4 linked regions of the Callithrix jacchus genome follow. The protein of the gene in region 4 purifies or fractionates together with the protein of the main gene of each other region. This does not show direct contact. Links are inferred from orthologs where the notes say so. Each region holds a gene or a part of one and is shown on either strand. Other genes may lie near its edges. The genes, in order: PPP6R2, PPP6R1, PPP6C and ANKRD52.

Region 1 (3,614 bases), on a different chromosome or scaffold from region 4:
GTTGATGCTGGGTGTGTTTGTGTGCAGCAGTGCTGCCATGAGGCGGGCGCCATGCAGGCGGGCATTCCCCAGGGGCTCCTCCAGCACACCGATGGTGGTCAGGATCGCCTTCTTCTGCAAACACAGACAGCACCACCCAGTTAGGTCCCGTGGGCAGTGAGGCCACTGGTGGACTCTCTAGGCTCATGCCCACCACTCCAGGTGAGTGAGGTATGTGGTGGGGGTTCCTGAGGGAGGGCTGTCTGCCAGAAGAAATGAAGGGATCAATGGGGTGAAGGGCCGGCTGTTCCCCTCAGGGCTTCACAGAGCGCTCCTAGAATGCTCATGGGCACTCCAGTCTGAGCCTGCAGGGCTACAGAGCCGTGCACCTTGGTGGGTGAGACGTCCAAGATGGGGCCAGCAGTACCAGTCAGAGGCCAGAACCCCTGGCACGATGCCTCGGTGAGGATGTCCACGGGGCACCCTCCAGGGACAGGACTTCAGAACACCAAGTTAACAGGTGTCCTGTGAACACACTTCGGGGACACATGAGAATGCCTCCTTGGATGGGCCTCAGGTCTTTCTGATCCCCCACACTCAGCATAACACATCTACCTTCTTTTCACTGAAGGCTCCAGGCTGACAAAACAGAATCCCGGCCCCCACGGAGCTTACTAGTGGGGCAGGTGGATCTTACCAAAGTGGCAAGTGAGAGGAACTGAGCTGTAGGTCAAGTGGGTGCCACGCAGCAGTGGTGGGGCTGTGTCTGGGGAAGGTGAGAAAAAATGTGGGGGCAGCCTGCCTGTGTCTGGGGAGGGTGAGATGGGATGGGGGGGCAGTCTGGCTGGCAGTCTTGAGCTGGAAGGAGCCTTTGTGTGCTTCACCCTCCTCAACAGGACCCACGCACCGACCAGTGCTGCTGAATGGGGCAAAGGGCCTCCCCTGAAACCCCCTGGTCCCCTCTCAGGAGCTGAGCATCCCTTAGCCAGATGCCCCCAACTTGGAGGCTAGGCCTATGGTGACCTCAGGGTCAGCTGCCTGAGGAGGCTGTAAAATGTACAACTCCCAGGCCTCCCTTGCAGACGCAGAGATGAACATTTGCAGATCGAGCAGGGGAGCAGTCCTGAAAACGTGTGTTTTGGCATCTGCCGGGTGCTTCTCAAGTAGGGGTGTGGGAATGGCCATCTTAGAACACATTCACTCCACACACTGCTTCCTGTGGGACAAGCTGTGGATTCCTCTCCCTGCAAATCATCCTCTCCCGCGATGCCTCCAAAGGTGCTCGCAGTCACCATGGCCATTTACCTTGGGTGGGTTGAGCAGGAGCTGGTGGAAGTCCTTCAGCCGAGGCTCGATGCCATGTAGCACGCTGCTGCTGACAGTGTACGACCTTTCCAGTCCCTGAGAAAAGGAGTCCACCAAGCCCTCTGTCCTGTGGGTGAGGAAAGCAGATGGAGACTGGGGACACCAGGGCCCGTTCCAACTTCACCAGCAACTCAGCGCATCATCGTCTTCCAGAAAAAGCTCTTTTAACTTTCCCAAAAAGAAATCCTAGAGGAGTGCAACGACTGAAGGCCTCCACACACGATCTGGTGACTGGTACAGGCAGAAGAGAAAGGCACTAAAGACCTTCAGGAAAACACTTGCTTGTGACGTCCAAGAACATGAAGCCAGGGCAAGTGACACAGAACTCACTGCCCGTTGCCCCCAGCACATCGGGGGGCTGCTCTGTCCTCCTGCTTTGAAAAGCGCCACTGCTAACCCTGTATCTTCACTGTTCCTGTGTGGTGGTGGTCTTGAGCCAGAGTCTCACTCTGTTGCCCAGGCTGAAGTACAGTGGTGCGATCTTGGCTCACTGCAACCTCTGGCTCCGGCGTTCAAGCAATTCTCCTGCCTCAGCCTCCTGAGTAGCTGCGATTACAGATGCCTGACACTACCCCCAGCTAATTTTTGTATTTTTAGTAGAGACGGGGCTTCGCCACATTGGCCAGGCTGGTCTTGATCGCCTGACCTCAGGTGATCCACCCGCCTCAGCCTCCCAAAGTGCTGGGATTACAGGTGTCAGTGACCACGCCTGGTCCCTGTGGTGTTTTCAAGCAAGTCTTCTGAGATATTTTTAAAACACTTTTTCCAGTTGTAAAAGTAATACATAATCGGGGCCGGGCGTGGTGGCTCACGCCTGTAATCCCATCACTTTGGGAGGCCAAGGCGGGTGGATCACAAGGTCAAGAGATCGAGACCATCCTGGTCAACATGGTGAAACCCCGTCTCTACTAAAAATACAAAAAATTAGCTGGGCATGGTGGCACGCGCCTAAAATCTCAGCTACTCGGGAGGCTGAGGCAGGAGAATTGCCTGAACCCAGGAGGCAGAGGTTGTGGTGAGCCGAGATCGCGCCATTGCACTCCAGCCTGGGTAACAAGAGCAAAACTCTGTCTCAAAAAAAAAAAAAAAAATCAATATTCCAGTTGCCCAACTAGAGAAACAATAACATTATAACTCTACTTTTGGTTAATAAACTAACAAATATGTATGAGGTAGTACGAGAGGGAGGGAGGGAGGGAGGGTGAGAGGGAGGGGAAGTCCTAACAATTTCACTACCAAAGTTAAGTCAATTTCTTGTCATTTTTCTATTGTGCCTTTTTCCTTTACTTTAAAAAAGCACAGGCTATCGGTGTTGGGGGCGGAATGATGTTCTCCCCAGAACTTGGAAATAAGGGTACTATGGCCACCGTGGTAGAGTTAGACATCATCACAGCTCATGATGGAACGGAGCTGACAGAAACATCCTGCAGACTTCAGGTTCCTGCTGGCATGTGGGGAATCTGAATTCAAGGATGGGGTTCAAGGGCCAGCAGGAGGCCAGGAGGGAAAGTGGCAGAGAGCACTGATGTGCTCCTTTTGGTCTCCCAGGCACCCCCCCATCCCAATGCCTCCCTCACAGACTCTCCACTCGGCTGTCTGTCCATTTGCACCTCATGGGCATCCTCCTCAGAGTTTCAAGTGCTTCAGTGGCTCTGGCAGTGCCCAGTCTTCTATGATCTGTGAGGGCAGGACCAGCCCCCACTGTGATCCAGAGCAACAGTTTCAAACACTTCCTGAAATTTCCACCTGGGGTCCAAGAAGGGTCTCCAGCACCTATATCCTCAAACAAACTCAACTTTCACCTGAACCCCCTTCTGATACTATCTAGTCTGTCTCTGCCCATTCACTGTCATGCCTCGCCAGAGCTTCAACAGCTGCACCTGCACTGACGGCAGTGTGGGGTCACAGCAAAGGAGCTCCTCCAAACAAGCTCCACTCACCCCTGCCCACGTATTGTCCCACGCTTGTGTCCACACTGGACCTCCTCACTGTCTCACTCCAGGGGCTGTCTCTGGCCATATGCAGCCTCCCAGGGAAAAAGTCCCTGATCTGTGAGGCTCCATCCACTGGCCCATGTGCGTCCCCCCTTCTTGTGAGCCCGGAGGCACAGGGTACATGTAGACTGCACTCCCCACTGTCATACTGGGAGCAATAAAGGGGGGGAGCTGTGTCTCAGTTCTCTGTCTCCTAGGGCCTGTGTCAGTGCACAGTGGGTGTAGAAATGACACCTGATGAATGGGAAAGTGCAGTGGAGGCCAGTCACTTGGGAA
Region 2 (3,053 bases), on a different chromosome or scaffold from region 4:
GAATGCAGGGAATAAGCACCCTCCCCTGCTAGCTGAGCCAGCCCTAGGTGACCTCCAAACCAGCTGCCACCGCAGTGAGGACACTGTCCTCATGACCCGGCCCACATGGTCCGGTGTAGCCGAGACAGAGGCTTCCTGGCACCGCTCCCCTGTTCCACTTGCTGTGCACCGGCCTACACTTCTACCTTCCGGCTCAAAGACTCAGACATACTGGGCACCACTGCCCGGCCTCAATGCTGGGCTTGGTTACCAAAGGGGGGTAGGAGCAGGGATTTGAGCCCCCGATGGCAGCTTCCATCCTCCACCCTCGGCCCTGCCCACAGGTGGGGTAGGCCTGGCAGGAGCCATCACAGCCAGTGCCTGGCCCAGCCTGTGGCCTCTGTAGCCACAGGGCTCCCTCTGGCAGGACACAGTGTGGGGGCAGACTGGGTTAGGAGTACCCCAACCGCTGGGGTACAGGGATAACACAGGCTGCCCTCCCCGCATCCCAGAATGTACGGTCTGACCAGCAGAATCGTAAACTGTCTTCCTTTATTTATATTTGCAATATGAAATAGAAGCTCGGCACGAACGCACACACACTCACACCAGCCTGGGAGGAAGGAGCTTGGACAAGGCCACTTGGCAACAGGGCTGGGACCCCAGACCCTCAGGGACCCTGGGGGTGTTGCCGGGGAGGCCCCTGCTCCCCAGAGCCGGGCTGGCCTGGTTGAAAGTGCAGGGTCTGGGCAAAGGCACGGCCCCCACGCGGGACCCTCTGGCACCCCCACCCTCACTTGGGCTGTCCCTCATGGTGGACCTGAGCTGAAAGGCCGGGTGTGGGCATGGCCATCTGTGCCTGAGCGTAGGATGGCTGGGCACGTGGGCGGCAACCTTGGACCCCTACCACCAGCCCCCACTGGGACAGGACGGGAAGCTGTGCTTCGGGCCGCCAGCCCAGCTCGGTGTTCTCACCTTCTCTCCCTCTCCTCCCTCTCCTCCCTCTCTCTCTTTATATAATATATAATAGACATTTCTCTCTCTCCATTCTCTCTATTTGACTCTCTTTATCTTTATTCTAGGAGGCAATGCTCCAAAACTTCTATTCTCAGTGCAAATGGGGTTGGGTTGGGCCTGTCTCCCTGGCACCAGCCTCCTGGGGGTCCAAAGGAGAGAATGTGGGGGGGTCAGGTGATGAGGGCAACGGGGGCCATCATGGGACTCGCCCTGCCCCCACCCTGGGAGATCCATGGGAGGACGGATGATTTGGCAGCTGCTGCCACACCAGGCAGCTACCTGCAAACAGAGAGAGATGTCGTGTGAGGGTCCAGCAGGCCCAGCCCCACCTGCCCAGCCCCAGGCTGCAGCCACACTCACTGAGAGCCCGGTGATGCAGGCCCTTCCGGGGCAGAGCCATTGGGCACTGGAGGAGGTGTGAGGGCCTGGGCACTGTCACGGGAGGGAGGGGATGTGCAGAGGTCACTTCCTGCCCGCCAGCCCTGCCCTGCCCTGCCCCGCTGCCCTGGTACTCACCTCTGGCTTTGGGTAAGCCCCAAAGGCTCTGGGCTCTTCTCCCCATCTGTGGTCTGTGGGGGCTGGTGGGCCCCGGAGGCTGGGACAGAGGTAGAGGGGTCTCTGGTTGCACTGTGGGTGAGAGGCAGGTGCAACTGTCAGCGTCACCTGCTGACACCCTCACACCCCTGACAATTTCAGTTGGCTCACTGGGTGTCCGCCACTTGCCCCACCAGAAGGGGCCTCCCGAGCACGAAGCTAGCTCAGTGCAGAGGGACTGCACAGCTCTGGGCAAGAGGACAAGCACCTCCCTTCATGTTCCTGTCCCTGTGGAGGAGTTGCTCGAGGCCGGTTGGGACAGCCCCAAGGGGTCTCCTGCATGCTCTCACCCTCCCAATCCTTCACAACCTCCAGGGAGCCTTTTCCAACCCTGGGGGCCCTGAGCATCCCAGGCTACTAAGAGAAGAACCAGCCTGCAGAGTGCAGGGGGCTGGGGCATGACATGAGGCTGGGCCTGGGGGTCCTGCAAGGGTCACCTGGAGCAGCTCAGGGACAAGACAAACCCAAGCCCACCTCACTGAGGAGGAGAAAAGACTTCTCCTGATACCAGCCCCTCCCCACAGTAAGCCCCACCTCATTGCTCACCTGTCCGAGGAGTTGGGGGCAGAACGGATCCCGTGGAAGGTGGCCTGGAGGTCCCCGACGCTGACCAAGGCCTGGCAGGGGGCTGTGGGGGATGAGAGGTCTCAGCCGCAGCATCCCAGCAAGCTCAGAGCTGGCCAGGCTGCTCTCTCTGCCCAAGGCCACAGGTGGGCAGGGCAAAGAGGGGCTCACCTGAGGGCTCCACGACTTTGCTGCCGTCCATGGCTTCCTGAGGTGCTGAGGGGTTTGTGGGGTCCTGAGACCTGGCAGGCGAGAGAGGCAGCCCAAGGGGGCAGCTAGGGTCAGCGCTCAAGCCTACAAGAGAACTGGGAGGCCATGACCACCTCCTGGCCTCGGGATACCAGCGCCATCCAGCCCGTCCCGTCTGGTTCTCACCTGAGCTGCAGGGCATCATGAGCTGGAGGGCTGGCCAGGCTCTGGGTGGGGAAGCCCTGGGGCACAATGAGGGGCCCCTGTGGGGCTGGAGGCCCAGTGTGCAGCTCTTCCTCCCCGGAGACTCGGGGGCTGGTCAGGGCATCCGTAGGCACTGGGTCAAAGGTGGCGGTCCAGCCGGGGCCTGGGGTAGAGGTGGGGGGGTGGGCAGCAGAGGATGAGCTTAGCAGCAGGCCGACAGCCTGTGGATGCCTGACCACACCGCCTGTTCATTCACCTGGAGGCTGAGGACCAGGGCTGGGGTAGGACAGCAGGGTGGCCCCTCCACGGGCTGCACAGCCAATGCCCTCCTCGTCTTCCTCCTCCTCCTCCTCCTCCTCTTCTTCGTCCTCACTGTCTGTGCTGCCTCCACTCCTGCCCCAGAAACCACCTTGTCAGTCAGCTGTGTGGGACAGACCAGCCAACCACCATCTGGTTCCCTGCAGCCAGGATCAGCCCAAGGAGGGTGGGCTGAAGTGACCAGCAGG
Region 3 (4,354 bases), on a different chromosome or scaffold from region 4:
TCCGTCTCAAAAAAAAAAAAAAAAAAAAAAATACAAAAAATTAGCTGGGCATGGTGGCGCGTGCCTGCAATCCCAGCTACTGAGGAGGCTGAGGCAGAATTGCCTGAACCCAGGAGGCAGAGGTTGCGGTGAGCCCAGATCGTGCCATTGCACTCCAGCCTGGGTAACAAGAGCGAAATTCCATCTCAAAAAAAAAAAAGAAAAGAAAAAAAGAAAAACAAATAGAAGCAAAGTATAATGCAGTTGTGTTCAATAGGAAATAAAATGGTCTAAAAACTATATTTCATTAAGGTAAGAAGGAAATCTAATGTTTATCAAAGTAAGAGGTCCAAAGAAGTCCAACAGATTCTTTTTTTTTTTGTGAGATGGAGTCTCCCTCTGTCACACAGGCTGGAGTGCAGTGGCTTGATCTTGGGTCACTGCAACCTCCACCTCCTGGGTTCAAGCAATTCACCCTGCCTCAGCCTCCCAGGTAGCTGGGATTACAGGCACTCACCACCACGCCAGGCTAATTTTTGCATTTTTTAGTAGAGATGGGGTTTCCCATGTCGATCAGGCTAGTTTCGAACTCCTGACCTCAGATGATCCGCCCACCTTGGCCTCCCAAAGTGCTGGGATTATGCCATGCCTGAGACGTTATCATAAAAAAAAAAAAAACATTTTATTTATCATAAACACAAAGTTTAAAAAAGCTTTACACATGATAAATAAAAAGAAAAAATTCCAAATCAATTCACTGACATGCAATAGTCAACCTCACCTACAGGATTAATAATGCTACTAAGAGGTCTGGTTAGTTTTCCATGAATTGGATCCCAATGCTAGTTGTATTCTTATTCCAAAAAAAAGAAAAAAGAAACACGCATAGCAGAAAGAAGCCACAAAACAAATGTCTGAAGGACTGATGAGTATGTATGCTACATTGCTACTAATGAAGGCTCTATCCTTATTTTAAATTATCCTATTAAAAATGGGAGCATACACAAGAATGACTCCCCTATAATATGCTTCATAAAATTAACATATAAGTACAATTCAGTTACATTCACAACAGCATGTGTGGCCTCAAACATTATGCATACTTGTTGACTTATGTTAAGTATCAACTTCCAATACCAAAGAAGAAACAAACAAAACCCACAGTAATATATTTCTTGAAGAATACACTAAGATAAATAACTAGCACAAGCTGATAAGCACTGCTAGAAACCTAATAAGCACTGGTTTCACCAAATGCATAAACACTTTTCAAAAAAGCAGCATACCTAGGACGGGTGCGGGGGCTCACGTCTGTAATCCCAGCACTTTGGGAAGTTGAGGTGGGCGGACCAATTGAGGTCAGGAGTTCGAGACTAGCCTGGCCAACATGGCAAAAACCCGTCTCTACTAAAAATACAAAACAGCCGGGTGTCAGCCACCTACTCGGGAGGCTGAGGCAGGAGAATCACTCGAACCCAGGAGGCAGAGGTGCAGTGAGCCAAGATCGCGCCACTGCACTCCAGCCTGGATGACAGAGTGAGACTGTTTCAATAAAAAATAATGATGGAAGGGAGCGGTGGCTCACATCTGTAATACCAGCACTTTGGGAGGCCAAGGCGGGCAGATCACGAGGTCAGGAGTTCAAGATCAGCCTGGCCAACATGGTGAAACGCCATCTCTACTAAAAATACAAAAATGAGCCAGACGTGGTGGCATGTGCCTGTAATCTCAGCTGCTCAGGAGGCTGAGGCAGGAGAATCGCTTGAACCCAAGAGGCGGAGGCTTCAGTGAGCTGAGATCAAGCCACTGCACTTCAGACTGGGCGGCAGAGACTCCGTCTCAAAGAAAAATAAAATAAATAAATAAATAATAAGTTGAAAAGAAAAGCAGTATATCAAACTCATTCCTTTACCCATACATACATTTACTTGGACTCAAGGGCAACGAGGAACTCGTCTTCTTTAGAAAACCAAGAAAACGAAATCTTGAGTTAAGAAGGGGTTAAGGGGAAAGTATTTGTATTTATTAAGAACCAACTACTTTCTCCACTTCAGTAAGCTCAACAAAATACTCAGAAACGGGTTCACCTCTGAATTAGCAGAAGAAAACCCACGGTCCTAAAAGGCAATTTGGAGAAGGTGGAGGAGTGGCAGAGAAGAGGGACGATCTGACATTCGCTCTCGTCAGTACCAAACCACTCGGACCCACCGCCTTCCCCTTCCTCAGAGACCTAAACAAACTGGGGCCGCGTTGCAAGAGCCTGTGGCAACTCCTGTCAGACGCCGGCCACTCTGCGCTCCTGTCACCTCCAACGGGGACGATCCCATCCCGAGGGCACTGCCGCGGGGGCTCGGCAGTGAATGCCGGAGATCCCGGGAAGGGGTGGAAAGCTGCTAAGCAAAGCTGTTGCAGCTACGGGTCCTGGGGCAGCCCGAAGGCCAAAAGGGGCGACCCTGGGGTAGAGGCCGCGAAATCCCTTGGGATACCCACTGAGGCAACTAGGACATCATTTGGGGGACTTGGTTCCCCCAACCATTGGCGTGACGCCGGGTCGGGCCGGGTCGCATGGCATCGGAGAGGGCCCTCCACCGCGGAGAGACGGGATACCCGGCGGGGGTCCCACGAAGAGAGGAAGGGCGGGCCGGCGGGCGCCCCACAGCCGGAAGGGGCGAGCCTGTAAGCAGCGCTCCCGCCCCGGCAGGGCTCACCTTCAGGTCGTTCTCTGGCAGGTATTTGCACAGCCGCGCTATCTCCACATACTTGTCTAGGTCTAGCGGCGCCATTTTGAGAATAACAAGCCGCGGCGACAGCGGCGGGGTCGGCGGCGGCGGCGGCTGTAAAAGCAGCGGCGGCGGCGGCAGCGGCGGAGGCCGAAGCCGGAACTCTCCTACGTCACGTCCGGACCGTGAGTGGCGTCTGCGCAGCGCCGTTAAAGCGCGACCCGCTTCTCCCCGCTACCTCGGTACGCCCGGCGCCCCCTCTGGCTGAACCCCGGCTGCAGGCCCCAAGAGGCCCCCCCATCGGTCCAGCCTGCGAATTCTGATGGGACCCGTAGTCGCCTGCCGCGGGTGTTGCCGGGATTTGTAGTTTTCCGTTGTGGACAGCCACCCCTTTCTTTTCCTCCCCTTCAGTTCCTCCAGACTTTCACCTCCCGGCAGCGGGCGAGGCTTTTCCGAGGCAAAACGGCGGAGTAGGTCGTCCTAGCCACTCACTCGTTTCTCCTTCCAACCCTTTTAAGCACTCTCTCACTTTCACTTAACAACTGGGTAAGCCTGGCCGTAGTAACTTGTTTGCATCTTTCCAAGTGCCTGTGAAAACCTCGCTTAAGCCTGTGGCACAAATGTCAGGCTCCAGCCTGAAAGGAAGATAAAGAAATATTAAAGCATTTCTTGGCCGGGCGCGGTGGCTCACGCCTATAATCCTAGCACTTTGGGAGGCCGAGGCGGGTAAATCACGACATCAAGAGATCGAGACCATCCTGGGCAACAAGGTGAAACCCCGTCTCTACTAAAAATACAAAAATTAGCTGGGCATGGTGGTGGCGCCTGTAGTCCCAGCTACTCGGGAGGCTGAGGCAGGAGAATTGCCTGAACCCAGAAGGCGGAGGTTGCGGTGAGCCGAGATCATGCCATTGCTCTCCAGTCTGGGTAACAACAGCGAAACTCCATCTCAAAAAAAAAAAACATTTCTTATGCTAAATGCGATACAAATTCTATTTTTCCATTTAATCTTTGTAACAATTGGTAGGAAAGTGAGACTTGGAGGCTTTAAGTAGTTTACCCCAAATCTCACAGGGAACAAATGGTGGGGCCAAGATTGGAAAATGGCTTAAGCTTAAGCATACTTCCAGTGAGAATCCCACGAAGGCAGGGAGTTTTCTGCTGTGACTCCAGCACGGAGAACAGTACCGCATACCTTCAGTAGTTTATTCAACCGCTCTTTATTGAGCAACAAAGATGTACCAGGTACAGCTGCAGGCGCTTGGAATACTTAGTGAACAAAATAGACAAAGATCTCTATCCTATCTGTAGCTACAAAAACTACCAAATTTAGCCGGGGGCAGTAGTGCGTGCTTGTGGTCCCAGCTACACTGGAGGCTGAGGCAGAAGAATCGCTTGAGCCCAGGAAATGGAGGTTGCAGTGAGCTGAGATCGTGTCACTGCACTCCAGCTTGGGGGACAGAGCGAGATCCTCAAAAATAAATAAAATAAAATTAGTAAAAGGAAGCTGCTGTATGGGACTGGGGTGGGGGTGCAATAGCTCTAGCTAAGAGATCAGTTAGGAGACTGTTATGTCATCCAATTGTAGCAGGTGCGCAATACATATTTGTTGCTCAAGTGACCCTGGAATGAATCCTCTCACTCTCTACAGTGTA
Region 4 (4,361 bases):
TGGGACGATAGGCACGTGCCACCATGCCCAGCTAGTTTTTCTGTATTTTTAGTAGAGATGGGGTTTCACTATGTTGGCCAGGCTGGTCTTGAATTCCTGACCCTGTGATCTGCCTGCCTGGGCCTCCCAAAGTGCTGAAATTACAGGCATGAGCCACTGTGCCTGGCCAACTTTTATTTTCAACACTGTAAAAACTAAAAAAAATTTAGGCCCGGCGTGTGTTTTACACCTGTAAGTACTGTAATCCCAGTATTTTGAGAGGCTGAAGCAGGCACATCACCTGAGATCAGGATTTCGAGACCAGCCTGAGCAACATGGAGAAACCCTGCTGTCTCTACTAAAAATACAAAATGAGCTGGGCGTGGTGGTGCATGCCTGTAATCCCAGCTACTCGGGAGGCTGAGACAGGATAATCACTTGAACCCGGGAGGAAGAGGTTGCAGTGAGACAAGATTGTGTCACTGCACTCCAGCCTGGGTGACAAGAGTAAAACTCCGTCTCAAAATAAAATAAAATAAAATAAAATGTATTTTTATTTTTTCCTCTCCCAGCAAGGGAGGCCTTTTATATATAAAGACTTGACAGGATGCCAGCATGCTATACTTCTTCCATTACATGTTCCTTTCAATGTATTGAGTTGTAAAACTCTGAGCAGGACTCTGGATCACCTTTTATAAATTGTACCAATTTTTCAATCTCCACTTTTCGTCTTCCTTTTTTTTTTTCTGTTTCTGGGCCGGGATGACCTCCATTCATTTCTTCTCTAACTGACGGCTCTCCGGCATCTCCATTGGAGGAGGGGAAACACCGCATGCTGTTCTAAGGAGAAATTGTTGAGTGTTTTCCACTTTAACCTTGCAATGGAGTCATTAAGGAGTTGGAAAATGCTCCTTCTGTTGATCTCGGCCGTCTCTTCCAGCTGCCAGTTGTCATGGCCTCTTTGTGGGTGTTTTCTGCAGTAGAATCCTCCTTGGGGTTTCTCTGCAGTTTGAGCACTTTGCTATTTCTTTTCTACCGAACTCACCCCTCCGCCAGTGGAGATACACGTCTTCCCTCCCTCTGGGGCTATTGCCATACCTAATTCTCAGTTCCCCACCTGCCAGTTCCCCCTAGTCTGTGGGGGATTTCGGGGTGTGGAATAGCTGACGGGAGGAGTTAGCTCGGCCGGGAGCAACGTGGGCTGGGTGAGATCTGGCCAGCCGTTCGGTCCTCAGCTTGGAAAGCATCGCGGGACCAAGGCCCAGGTTTCCGCTAGGGTCTTGTGGGGTAACCTCTTGGGCCGCCAGACTGGAGCGGAGAGCACTGCGCGGCCGGTTGCGGAAGCCGGGGAGCGGACGCGCGAGTTAGGGGGTGCGGGGGCTGCTGGGGCCGCCAGGGTGGGGCGGAGAGTGCTGCGGTCGGGGTCAGTTTGCGCGGGGAGCGCCGGGCCCAGAACCGCCGCCAGGGAGCGCTGCGGCCTCCCGCTCGCCCGCCCCCCGGTAGGCGGGGCCGCGCTCTCCCCGCAGCCGCCGCCGCAGCCGCCGCCTGGGCCGCTCCGTGTCCCCGGTGGAGCCGCCGCCGCCGCCGCCGCCGGGAGCTCGATGCGGACGGAGCCCGGGCCGGGCCATGGGGATCCTCAGCATCACGGACCAGGTCAGCCCTCCTGCCCTTCCTCGCTTCCTCCTTCCAAGGCTCGGCGTCGCCGCCACGCGAGCCCGGGGATGTGCGGCCTAGGTTGGGCCCGAGCCCGGGGCTCCCGCAGCTCCCGCCCCGCCCCATGCCGCGCTCCCCTCTACCGAGCCGGTGTCCTTGGGGACCTGGCAACCGGCGGAGGCACCGCGGGAGCCCGCTGCAGGCAGAATCCCCAGAACGGAGCCCCTCCACGGACGCCCCCCCACAAACCTGGGTGTTCCCCCACCCCCACCCCGGTTCCGCTCCGGCTCTAGCCCGCTCCCTGAATGCCGGTTCTCCCTGCAGCCGCCCCTGGTCCAGGCCATCTTTAGCCGAGATGTGGAGGAAGTGCGTTCCCTACTCTCGCAGAAGGAGAACATCAATGTGCTGGTGAGTTGGGAGCAGGGAGGATGGCGAGATCGGAATCCTGGCTCCCGTGTTCTGGACCCCTCCCCACCGGTGGGGCGGCTCCGTGTCTCCTCTGCTCAGAAGAGGCCGCAGTTCTTTCCATCCTGGAGTGAAAGCCTACTCTGCATTTGGGGATGGAGAGCAGGTCAGGCTTGGAGCCCAGATCACTTGGGCTGGGGATGCCCAGGAACGTTGTTCTCTTCTGAACCACCGGAGTCTGCAGCGCCCCCACCCCTCCTGGAAAAAGGAGCCGGCTTCTCAGCCCATTGGCCCTGACTCCACCCTCCCTAGGTGCTTGCCTTTGACTCCCAGTACCGGGACTTAAGATGCTGCAGAAACTATGGGAAGAGGTTGTGGGGAAGGGCCTGGAGCTCTGAGGCTTGGGCTGGGGTCCTTGATAGCCCCACATCCCCCGCCCACAGTCCCTCTTTTCTGCCTTCCCAGGACCAAGAGAGGCGAACTCCATTGCATGCTGCTGCCTACGTAGGCGATGTCCCCATCCTCCAGTTGCTACTGATGTCAGGTGAAAGTGGGGAGCTGGAAGGTGTGGCACATAGGGAGGGAAGGAAGGGGAGGAGTCTTTTTTGATGTTCAAGGATTGGTCTTCCTTGCTCAGTCCAGGCGAGACTCCAGCTCCATTCAGATTTTCTGGCCTGATTACTGGCTTTCTTCCCACCCCCTCCACCTCTTCCATCAATACAGGAAATTATATCCCCACAGGTGCTAATGTCAACGCTAAGGACACACTGTGGCTGACCCCTCTTCATCGTGCTGCTGCCTCCCGAAATGAGGTATGCACCCCCACCTTCTTTCACCCTTTCAAAAAGGATGAGTTGCTTAGAGGTGGAGGTTAAGGGTTAAGGAGCCTCAGTCCTCAGCCCTACAAGCTGTTCTACCCCAGGTAGGGAGGAGATCAAATCTTGGCCCCTCCCTCCTACCCCTGGAACTGGCTGGTAAGGGGGCTGAGTGCTGCCAGCTGATGTGACTCAGGGAGAGCTTAACACTGGGCTGGCAGACTGCGGGGGCCCTGCTGCCAGGCCTGAGTGACTCATCCCTCCCTGGGGGGCCACCTTGAGTCTGATCCCCCTCTGGGCACTGAGATTTCTTTCCTTGTGATGGGGGATGGGTATAATAATCTGTTGCATCCTTGGCCCTCAAGCAACTTGAAAGCTGACAGCGACAGCACAGGGGCCAAACATATTTCATCAGTTGGGTCCTTAATCCTATTCCCATCAGCCCTGAAGAGAGGGAAAGGGGGACCTCCTCCTCAGTTCATCACTTCCCTGGCTCCAGCCACTAGGGGGAGGGGCCGAGGCCAGTGAGAATGAGATGGGTAGTGGTTAGGAGGGGCATTTTACCCTGGGTTTTGCAAAGGAACCGGTATCTGTTTGCTTACTGAGATACTGAAAATAATTTTAGTGCCTATGAGGAGGCTACATGTTCAGGGTAAGACGTATCAAGAGCATTTAGTTTTCCTAGAAGTAGTGGGGGGGTTGGGATATGTGGCTCTGCATTTGTGGATTTGTTTGGGAATGGATGTATGTGTGAGTGAAGAATTTTATTTTGCAAAAAAAGAACATGTTTCAGTGTGAGTGAAGATTTTCAGGGTCTAGGTTAACAAGTCAGGTGGCTTGAAGAGCAAAGGGTCCCTGTTTCCTTAGCAAGGTAAGGAAAAGTTTAAGCTCTAAGAAGATCCAGAAGATGGGAAGTAGGTATTGAGAGTCTAGGTATGTTGGAAAAATGAGAAGAGACTCTGTGCTGGGGAAAACAGGGCCATATATGCTATGCTGACCTATTCCTCCTTCTATTTCCTGTTGTTTTGCCTCCTGCTCCCACTCTCTCTTTTGTCCCCTGCCCCTCAACAGAAGGTGCTGGGGCTGCTGCTGGCACATTCAGCAGATGTGAATGCCCGGGACAAGCTGTGGCAGACACCGCTACATGTGGCTGCTGCCAACCGGGCCACCAAGTGTGCTGAGGCTCTGGCACCCCTGTTGAGCAGCCTCAACGTGGCTGACAGGAGTGGACGCAGTGCTCTGCACCATGCAGTGCATAGTGGGCATCTTGAGGTGAGGACTGTTCCCACCTTACCTTCCCTTTTCTTACCTTCCTACTTACTTTCCCTGTTTCTGGGTCCTCATGCCTGCAGGAGAAGCAGCCCGGATGGTAATATAAACACTTGAGCTCACACACTAAATGAATGGTTAGACTAGATTAAAATTCTTAACTTGGAGTTCAGGAAGTTGATAAAACCTGGATTTTGTGTGGAAAATATTTGCATACACGCCTTTCTGAAGAGAGTCCAT

The links.
Region 1: the proteins of ANKRD52 (region 4) and PPP6R2 purify together in Homo sapiens (affinity purification with mass spectrometry; 3 studies listed by BioGRID and IntAct, counting the BioPlex papers as one, with this or other methods). This does not show direct contact. The link is inferred for Callithrix jacchus from reciprocal best matches to the Homo sapiens genes ANKRD52 and PPP6R2.
Region 2: the proteins of ANKRD52 (region 4) and PPP6R1 purify together in Homo sapiens (co-immunoprecipitation; 3 studies listed by BioGRID and IntAct, with this or other methods). This does not show direct contact. The link is inferred for Callithrix jacchus from reciprocal best matches to the Homo sapiens genes ANKRD52 and PPP6R1.
Region 3: the proteins of ANKRD52 (region 4) and PPP6C purify together in Homo sapiens (affinity purification with mass spectrometry; 6 studies listed by BioGRID and IntAct, with this or other methods). This does not show direct contact. The link is inferred for Callithrix jacchus from reciprocal best matches to the Homo sapiens genes ANKRD52 and PPP6C.

What each region holds. Positions count from the first base shown.
Region 1 is NC_133502.1:218,986,383-218,989,996, reverse strand, and holds part of PPP6R2 (serine/threonine-protein phosphatase 6 regulatory subunit 2), read right to left. Parts: intron 1,412-3,614; coding exon 1,285-1,411; intron 115-1,284; coding exon 1-114. UniProt on the Homo sapiens protein: Regulatory subunit of protein phosphatase 6 (PP6). May function as a scaffolding PP6 subunit. Involved in the PP6-mediated dephosphorylation of NFKBIE opposing its degradation in response to TNF-alpha.
Region 2 is NC_133523.1:48,097,783-48,100,835, forward strand, and holds the end of PPP6R1 (serine/threonine-protein phosphatase 6 regulatory subunit 1), read right to left. Parts: intron 2,941-3,053; coding exon 2,804-2,940; intron 2,711-2,803; coding exon 2,530-2,710; intron 2,397-2,529; coding exon 2,326-2,396; intron 2,219-2,325; coding exon 2,137-2,218; intron 1,624-2,136; coding exon 1,513-1,623; intron 1,429-1,512; coding exon 1,357-1,428; coding exon of another isoform or gene 1,353-1,356; intron 1,276-1,352; coding exon 1,272-1,275; 3' UTR 515-1,271; downstream 1-514. UniProt on the Homo sapiens protein: Regulatory subunit of protein phosphatase 6 (PP6). May function as a scaffolding PP6 subunit. Involved in the PP6-mediated dephosphorylation of NFKBIE opposing its degradation in response to TNF-alpha.
Region 3 is NC_133502.1:173,787,308-173,791,661, forward strand, and holds the start of PPP6C (serine/threonine-protein phosphatase 6 catalytic subunit), read right to left. Parts: upstream 2,858-4,354; 5' UTR 2,763-2,857; coding exon 2,688-2,762; exon of another isoform or gene 2,470-2,687; intron 1-2,469.
Region 4 is NC_133510.1:63,388,157-63,392,517, forward strand, and holds the start of ANKRD52 (serine/threonine-protein phosphatase 6 regulatory ankyrin repeat subunit C), read left to right. Parts: upstream 1-1,490; 5' UTR 1,491-1,605; coding exon 1,606-1,632; intron 1,633-1,956; coding exon 1,957-2,040; intron 2,041-2,502; coding exon 2,503-2,581; intron 2,582-2,778; coding exon 2,779-2,849; intron 2,850-3,923; coding exon 3,924-4,124; intron 4,125-4,361. UniProt on the Homo sapiens protein: Putative regulatory subunit of protein phosphatase 6 (PP6) that may be involved in the recognition of phosphoprotein substrates.